2 linked regions of the Oryzias latipes genome follow. The protein of the gene in region 2 purifies or fractionates together with the protein of the main gene of each other region. This does not show direct contact. Links are inferred from orthologs where the notes say so. Each region holds a gene or a part of one and is shown on either strand. Other genes may lie near its edges.

Region 1 (4,432 bases), on a different chromosome or scaffold from region 2:
GAAGATTGAAATTACTTTTTTATCATCTGTTCAGTTAAAAAACAATTACCTGGTTTAGTCTGCATACGATGGTTAAGAATGGAGGAAACCCAACCTGAAAAAAAATGAAAACAAACACATCAGTAAAATCTAGTTTTCACGTTGTCCCTCAATGTAACATGCCTATTAAAGTGCCTTATTTCTGGGGCTGGAGGGGGGCAGTGGAGGCTTCGTTAGTTAGGGGGACCTGGTTGGGCGCCTGGAAGTGGGCAGGTGGGGGTACTGCATGGTCTTGGGAGAGTTTGGTCGGTGCGGTTGAGGGGGTCTGGCTTGGCTTGGGGAGTGGTCTTTTCAGGGGGGGTTAGGACAGGAGGAGGAGGTGCAGGCCCAGGTGCAGGAGACCCTGGGCCTGCACCTCTGCACTCTTCTGGTCCTGGGACGGGGTGGGGCAACCCTCTTGGGGTTTGCAGTTGCTCTGGGTGACACCTGCCATGGCTGCAGGATCTGGGGGGGGGGGGGGGGGGGGGGGGGGGGGGGGGGGCTGGTAGACTGGTTGGCTCTGTCCTCTGGGAAGGGGGTCCTCCATCAGGATGGGACTACAGAGGGTTGGGGTCAGCAATGAGACAATCATGGAGAGCCCTGGCTGGTCAAACTGCCTCGGTCAAGTTGGTGTGCTTTCTTGGCTCCTCTCTCTTTATGTATGCATAAGTATTTTTGTGTGAGCTGTAGTTGTATCGTGTATGTGTTGACATATGGAATGTGAAGATTTCACACAGGTATGTTTGTAACATACCTGTTAGCTCCTTTTGACTAATGCCTTAATCTGACAGTAATAATGATAAACCTCCAGCAACTTTTTGCTTTATGATTCTGAATCTACCCCCACTCTACTTCTTTGATCATGCTCCAACTTCCTTTAACCCCCCCCCCCTTTTCCCTTTTCAAAACAGGTATACAAACATAATCAATATAAATAAAGTTTACCCTCAAATACAGAAGAGTTTAAATAAATATACCCCTTGTGTGTCAGAAGATTCATGACCCCCTATTGTAACAGTAAAATCTCTCAAACACAAGAGGCCTTCAGCTCTGATCTGTTTGCTCAGCTGTTGGACAGAACAAGTTAACAAAAAAGAAAAAAAGTCTTATTTGAAACTTTTTGTTTCAAAACTTTGGCGTTTAAAAATTCTAACAACAGTTTAGTTGACAACCTTGCTATAGTCCAGTTCTGCCTCTGGTTTTGCATCTGTGGGGCAGGCTGATGCGCCCAAGTAGATCCTCTCTCCTAAACAAAACTTCTTCCAGCCCTCCTCATCTGTAAGGTTTGGCTGTAAAAGATCACACTTAAATATTATGCAAATGAGCACCTTTGACCTTTGCTAACATTGCAGCGGGATTTGACATCTTACCATGCGTACATTATTATCCAGAGTCTGGCTGCTCCAATGTTTTCTATTCTTGGTGATGCTCTAGTAAATTAAAAAATTAGACATTATAAGCAGAAATATAAGTGAGATATAAAAGCAACACACTGTTCTTTTAGTTTTTCTTACCCGTCTCACGTCAGAAAAATTACTGACTTGTTGTTGTTGCCAGTGAAGGCTGGGGGAGAAACCTACTGGGGGAGCGTGGCACCCAGCTACCTGAGACAGAAAATATGGTTTTCCAGATTATCATGTCTCTTGGCTGCAGAGTCAACTATACATGACCTCACCACACAGACAAAGCCTTAACAAATAAAGATTTGACCAAATAAATAGATTTTCACTTACAGATACATGGACTGTTTGCTTCTTCTTTAGTTTCTTAGGGTCAATTTGAGCAACCACCACCTCTGGACACATGGACGCTTCCAACCTACATCACAAGGAGGTGAGGGGTCACTGGGAAACACAGCTAATATCTTCTCTTCAATTTCTAAAACGAGTCATTCACAGATGTTGAAATCAATAATCTTTTTATTAGAAGAAGTTGAATTTCTTGCTGCTAAATCTTTTTGGTATTCAACCATGGGTGATTTAAATTGGGAAAAGACTAATACTTCTGTTCATAAATACTGTATTAATATTAAAATAAAATAGGTTTTATTTTGCTTTCTACCCAGTTAAAGATACACTAAGAAGATTTAAAATAAACAGAACAATTTTGTTTTTTGCCAATCAAGTAAGGAGACAATTTTCATTTATTTATTCTTTCTATGTACACCAAGCAATTTTGGTCGGATCTGCGTGAATTTATAACCACAAAATTTAATATAACTCTCTGAATTCTTTTTTTAATGTCATATTATATTTTTAATTACATGGTTTGCCCAAAAAGGTAAGTTTTGTTACTGAACTGTTCATTATTTTTGGGACATTCCTCATTCATACATATAAGCAGTCCATATTGAAGGCGACAAGAACATTTGATATTTTAAAGAAACGGCATATTATATTTTATTTACTTATATTCTATGTTCAAAAATAATTGGACTGGACTGATTATTAAAGTACAGGTGGCACGTGTTGTGCAACCTGTGTAGTGTTTTCTTTTACCTATATTATTCTATTCAGTTAATACAATAAGTATTGATAATAAAGTTTGTTGAAAAGAAACAACAGAAACACTTAAATATACTAAGTGGAGAGCTAATTCCACGGTTCGATACATAGACTGTAAATAGGAACTTTGGTTTTATACAATTTTTTTTATACCAATGCTTTGCTATTCTAAAGCATTTTAATTATGAAAACACTGGCTTTCCACTTTAATGAGAACAGAAGGGAGAACTTACTGGACCTGTCGCAAGTACTCCTGGGGGTTCCTCGGTGGACCGCTGAGGTCTACGTGCTCGGTGTCTTGTCCTAACTCCACCGGAAGCAGCCTTGGCATTAACTCCTCAACATCCGACTTCATTTTCCGCTAATAATGTAAAACTCTTAAGCGAAATCAGGACATTAAAACGAAGACTAGGCAGATGCTAGTATTTACTGTTGTCCAACAAGCGCCATTTTGTTTTTCAAACTAGATTTGATGACGCCAATTTTGTGCGCGAGGCGAGATTTGTTTCCATAGTGACGTGACAGCGCCTGAAACTTTGGCAGCGACAAGGAACGAAGTCCACGAGCATTTTATGTTGCGCATTTAAACACGTTTATTATACCTCAATTCAACCGCAGAAGCTGTTTAATAAATAAAAAAATTTCAAATCAAGTTGGTGAATGAAAAAAATAAACTTTTGACATTAGAGCTAAATTGTTTTGTTCTGCAATCAGGTTACGAGCAACGTTGTTAATTATTAGCTTCATGCTAGCGTTATATCTTATCTCCATTCTTTCGTTTACCACTAGTGAGGTTTCATGAGAGAAACAGCACAGAGTCAATGTCCACTTTCCTGAACAGCAGGTCAAAGGGATTTCTTCTCAAATATGGGACTTTTTCTATGATACACTCCAGCTAAAGCACCCAAAATGGATGTTTCCCTGCTACATAAATTCTGTTGGATTGTGGGTCTAACGTTTGTGATTTTGCCTCTTATAAATCCAGGAATGTTATCCGACTACAAGATCTGTGGAGATTCTGAGTGTGAAAGTAAGTCCAAACACTTGTGTCAAAATAGTTTGAAGTTCCTAAAAAATACTGTTATATTTTATGCATGAATTTAGCTTAGTTGGTTTATTAAAGACATTTTAATCATTTTAATGCAACTGATCACTTGTGTTTGTGTGTGTAGGCCTAATGAGCAGGGTTCAGGCCATAAGGGACCACAAGAGTAACGACTGCCGTTTTCTAAGCTTCAGACGTGGAGATATCATTTTTGTCTACCACAAACTTACAGGAAAGAGGGAGGATCTGTGGGCAGGCAGTGTATGTCCAATTTTCATCTCTTTTATATCTCTGTCGCCTCCTTATCATGAAACCTTAATGTAAATTGTCCCTTATCCAAGGTCTTTGGTTGAACAAAACAATATTCCTTATTATACAAAAAGCCTTAGTGTTTATTTGGGATGCTGACATCTTTGACTTTCATTTAACCGTTGGATGGAAGAGTTTTATTTTGAATGTTTAAATATAGTCATGTTTAAACTAATTTGAAAATTCTGTTAGAATTTAATATTTTGATGCCTGTTCTTGTACTCACGCAATGACAATAATATTGAATCTAATCTAATTTTTGTGTTTTTGACCTGTTAAATATGAATTAGATTTTGATTTCTTTAGTTTCAGAGCATCTTATCAAAAGCTTGTTGCTTTTCAGCATTTAAGTTTCACATATCTCAGAAAAGTAAGATACCAGAACTAAGCAATTTTTTAAAATATAAACATTCCCAGAACTTCTTACTTTTATATTCTTGGATCTAAAAATCAAAAGGACCAACATTTGTTTTAATCTCCAAAGAAAAAAATGACACAGCCTCATTGTGGTTTTTCAGTGTCTTTTGCCATTAAAGTAGAATTAATGGATAAAAAA
Region 2 (4,707 bases):
GCAAAATCCAACATAAAGTTAAACATTCAACATTAAAATTCTTGTTTTTTTTTTACTTTTCAGTAACTTGCAGCCTCTTTCCTTAAGGGGTTAGCTTTTAAAATAAAGTCCCTACTCTCTGTGGATGGGTGCTTGCTATGGGTTTGGAGAACCAAAGGCTGTGTTTGCTGTGCTGGCTCCTAAACTCTGGAATGAACTGCCGTCGGCTTTAGAGAGGCTTCCCTGTTCCTCCACTGCTCTGCCTTCGTTTCTGACCTTTAGACTGTTTCTATCCTTGGATTCTTTTTTTTATTTGTATTTAAAGCACTTTGGGCCTCCTTGGATGGTGGTGGAAGGTGCTCTAGAAATGAAAAAATGGAATGAAATGAAAATCAAAATCAGTTTGAATTTAGTTTTTTGTTGAGTTTTCTTCTAAAAAGGAAGGGAAAAAATGGCAGCAATTCAGAGAATCCGTCCTGATGAAATCGATCCAAAAGTACTTAATAAATCCAGAAAGGGAATAGAAACAATCTATGTGTGTTCTAGATAGCAGAACACACACAAATGGGACAATACGTCATGAAAAATCTGAACAAACCTTCACAAAGTTAAAAGGGTCAAATCTCTGCTAAAGATTTACATTTTTCTTAAAAGAAAAAGAACAAAACTTGAAAAAAAATTTTTAAAAATGTATCTTTTAATTTAAAATCTATTGTTCAGTATTTTGGGAACAGTTATCGTTTCTCCTGACTCAACTTCAGTGTTGGTTAAAGTAGGGTTTTCTTTCCATAACCCCCCCACAGGTGGGGCAGCAGAACTGCAGGTGGGTGGGGGCCGGACGAGGACGTTACCTGGTAGAAGCCCTGCTCTCCCTGCATGCTGTCCATGCTGCCCGAGAACGGCATGCTGCCCTGCCGCCCGTACTCCCGTTTCAGGCCGTTGGGAGGAGGAGGCGGGGTCTGGCTGAGCGAAATCTCGCTGTTGGACGACGGCAGACCCGGTTTGTGGCCCGCGGAGGAGGGGGTTCTGCGGGCCAGAGTCTCCTTCCTGTGATGGATCAACTTCCTGCGACACAGAGGAAAACCCAACGTTTGTGCGGAGGTCGACGGCCCCACGTGACGTCCGTGCCTTCAACTCACTGCAGAACGTCCCGCTGCTCCAGATTGTATTTGCCGCCGTTTTTCAAGGCCACGTTGTGGATTCCCTCAATGGCTCTGTCGATGGACAGCAGCACCTCATCCTGCTCGGGAGCCTGAGACGGAGAAGAAGAGGGAGCAGATGAAGGAGCTGAATTATCAGGACATCATTTAAGGGCTTGAACGCCTTCTGGCCAAAAGAAATGAGAACAGCATTGCAACCGTCATTCAAACCCTTGGGCTGTCCTGTGGGGTCCAGATGACCCCACTCTCAATGTTAACGTGGGGGGTTAAAGCTCTGTGATGGTGGCAGAGGAGAGCATTCCTCTTCTGCCAGTGTGAGCAGGCCCGTCTTCCACAAACGGGCTGGGACCGGTTCACCCAACGCCTGCATCCAGACACAGGAGGAGTGACTCAGAGGAGACAGACGGCTGATTCTGAAATGCTGTTGGCAAAGATCCCAGATCCATCGGTGAGCTGTTGTCTGGCCCCAAAACCTCTGGACGTTTCCTGACGTCGTTGATTATAATCAAGCAATCATAGGAAGATAAACAAAATACAAAGATAAAGAAAAAAAACTAACTCTGTTAAGACATTTAGGCGTAAATTTGAAGAAATATATTTTTGTTGCAGTAAAAACTGGATTTTAAATGCAACCTTTAATTAATATTTATAAATAGGAAAAATAAAACAATAAAAGAAGTTTCATTTAAGGTTTGACATCAGATTTATCTGAATATTTTTGATGTCATGTCCAGAAACGTCATTTTTACTATTTAACAGTTTTTTTTATTTTGCGGAAATTCTACATTTACTACAGTAAATGGTCCAATTCACAACCTTGTTTTACTTTATTCTATTTGGTCTTAAAATCATTTAACACGACATAGGAACATATGCAAAATATGACGGCTACAAGAAACTGTCATTCTATGTTTGTCTTTGCATTTTTAGTAAGACCATGAAAACCTCCAGACTGATGATTTTCTCTCTGGGTTCTCTCTTCTTGAGCTTTTTGCTTCTTCTTCTTCTTTTGGTTTTTGTAATTTCTCTTTTACTTGTGTTTGTGTGTGTGTGTGTGTGTGTGTGTGTGTGTGTGTGTGTGTGTGTGTGTGTGTGTGTGTGTGTGTGTGTGCGCGCGTGTGTGTGTGTGTGTGTGTGTGTGTGTGTGTGGGTGTGTGGGTGTTTCTGTACAGCACCATGAGCTGTTTTCTTTACATGAAAGGTGCTTTAGAAATAAAATTAGTTTGAATTGATTTGATTGCTGATGTGCTGCACAGCATTTGTAGGGCTTTCTTGACCGATTGTCAATAGCCGATTGTTAATAACGTTTTTGGGAGGAAACTGTAAATGGTGTTTATTTTTATTACTCAAAAATATGTATTTTTTGTTGCATTGTATTGTGTAGAATGAAGTACATAAGTGAATGGCAGCGTGTCACCTGCGCAGTGGCAAAAATAACCAAACTTCCCAGAATTCCTTGTTTTGCGGCGCGTTTTTTCCAGCCGGCTCGGACACGGCCTGCTGCATCTCCGGGTCCGCCTTCACCCCCCCCGTACTGGCGGTCAAACCCCACCGCCTCGTCGGTGTCCTCACCGGCACCGCGGGGTCTGTGGCGTACACGTACCTGTATTTTTTCGATGTACGAAGAGGGGATGTATCCGGTCTCCCCCGAGCTGCAGCGGGATCCCAGCCACCAGTGTTTGTTGCTCCTTTCCAGGATGAGAAAGCTCTCTCCGGCCGCGAAGTACAGCGAGTTGGGCTCCGTGGATCGGAAGGGATACAGAGAGCGGTACATGATTCCCTACAGCTCCGTCAACGAGCGGCAGAAAAGCTGTGCGGGAGAAAAACTGAGCCCTAGCGGAAACGTTTGCTGTGCTGTTGGCGGTTTAAAGGGACTAAAAAGGCATGTCTGCAGAGGCTCGCTGAAGTCTATTTACAACGGTGGGGTCACCTGACCGATTAATACCAATACACGCCACCAGAGGGCGCTGTGCTCGAAACGCCCACCAGGCACGCTAATCAAAATCAGAGCGACTCTCCAAAATATTCCAGATATACTTTTGCAAAAGAGTCTAATTTCTGGTATTAGGGGCGATTTAATTATCCATATTATCTTTGCACTTTCATTTTTTTCATTATCTACAGTTTAAAATGTTTATAATTAACCTCAAGATTGAAAATTGTCCAAAGATTGAGGACAACATTGAACACCCCTTTTCTCAGACTAATAACATTAATGGATTTTTGTGATTCACAAAATAACCTCAAATTGATTCCCCGTCAGACTGGTTAAAACTCGTCACATGAATTAATTTAACTGTTTTATTTTATGAATTTGTTTTTAGTGAAAAAGTGAGAAGAGTTTGATTGTGCGGTTCTCGACACCGACGCTGGTGTCACACTGAAATCCTTCCCCCGTGTGTGTCGCCGGTTACTCCATCAGACATGACACCGACGGTGGTGTCACACTGAAATCCTTCCCCCGTGTGTGTCGCCGGCTCCTCTCAGACATGGCCGCAGCAGTTTGCAGCAGGTTTCTGCTGCAGAAGTCTTCTCAGGGCCTCCTGTTGTCCTTCAGGGCAGCACCTGCTTTCTCCAGGTACTACGGGGGTTTCTGACTAATCTTAATAATATAAATATAAAGCTTTAGAGATAAATAACTCTGACTGTGAGATTCTGATCACGTGAGAACATTTGGCAATGACATTTAAACTTGTGTTGTGATGAAACAAGATGAAGGGTATGGATGGGATAGTGATTGCTTAATTTCGGCTTTTCTTTCAATTTGCTCATTTTTTTTAAATTAATTTAGTAAGCAGTCTCGTGAGCATTACAAATAAACAGAAAAGCTTCATAATCAACCTTTTTTTTTTAGTTATGAGAACTTAAGCGCCCATTATGCTGTTAAATTTGAGAATTGGTTTAGAATAAGTTGTCATTGTGACAATTTTAACATTTGTGAACCTTTTTCATATGTTCAGTCCATCTCAAACAGATTTTGCTGATTTATTTTAGTACTTTTCTTTCAAATTAATGTCTTGGTTCCCCTTGATGTTTTTTTTTTTTTTTTTTTAAAGAATATATAAAATCTAGTTGGTGTGTTTTCTTTTAAAGACCCACTTCGATAACAATTATGTTTTTCTTGTCTTTAACATGTTTTTGTGGTATAGGACATATTTTAAGAAATTAAAAAAGTATTTTACTGAGCGTTTCTTACTATAAATTGTTGTGAATCAGGAGCAAAAGAAAGTGTCGTTTCCCAAAGATCATATTTGTGGTCTAGATGCTGCGATTGGTTCGACACGAGCTTCCTGCTCTGCTCCATTCTGATGCAGACAAATAGATCCACGAACGTCTTTGTTTTCCTCATCTGAGTTGGATCCAAACTGAACGACTGGACAGCTCCGATGTTGGTGGTTATTTCTGTTGCATTAGTGATGTTAGGTTAGGGTTGTGCGGGGCTGTAAGCTAGTGGAAGGGTGGACACAGAGAGCTCTCAGCAAGAGGTAGAGGCTTAGGTAAAACTAGGAATTGCATTCTTTTGCTGCCTTCAAATTGTATTTGTTTTCATCTTCTTCAGCTTAGTTAT

Evidence for each region.
Region 1: the proteins of nckipsd (region 2) and gemin2 purify together in Homo sapiens (co-immunoprecipitation; 3 studies listed by BioGRID and IntAct, counting the BioPlex papers as one, with this or other methods). This does not show direct contact. The link is inferred for Oryzias latipes from reciprocal best matches to the Homo sapiens genes NCKIPSD and GEMIN2.

Annotation. Positions count from the first base shown.
Region 1 is NC_019880.2:19,643,226-19,647,657, forward strand, and holds the start of gemin2 (gem-associated protein 2), read right to left. Parts: upstream 3,010-4,432; 5' UTR 2,878-3,009; coding exon 2,756-2,877; intron 1,852-2,755; exon of another isoform or gene 1,837-1,851; coding exon 1,752-1,836; intron 1,623-1,751; coding exon 1,533-1,622; intron 1,449-1,532; coding exon 1,389-1,448; intron 1,308-1,388; coding exon 1,191-1,307; intron 95-1,190; coding exon 50-94; intron 1-49. Other genes in the region: transport and Golgi organization protein 1 homolog, read left to right, coding at 3,432-3,552, 3,695-3,828. UniProt on the Homo sapiens protein: The SMN complex catalyzes the assembly of small nuclear ribonucleoproteins (snRNPs), the building blocks of the spliceosome, and thereby plays an important role in the splicing of cellular pre-mRNAs.
Region 2 is NC_019863.2:1,718,119-1,722,825, reverse strand, and holds the start of nckipsd (NCK-interacting protein with SH3 domain), read right to left. Parts: upstream 3,223-4,707; 5' UTR 2,914-3,222; coding exon 2,743-2,913; intron 1,232-2,742; coding exon 1,119-1,231; intron 1,045-1,118; coding exon 831-1,044; intron 1-830. UniProt on the Homo sapiens protein: Has an important role in stress fiber formation induced by active diaphanous protein homolog 1 (DRF1). Induces microspike formation, in vivo. In vitro, stimulates N-WASP-induced ARP2/3 complex activation in the absence of CDC42.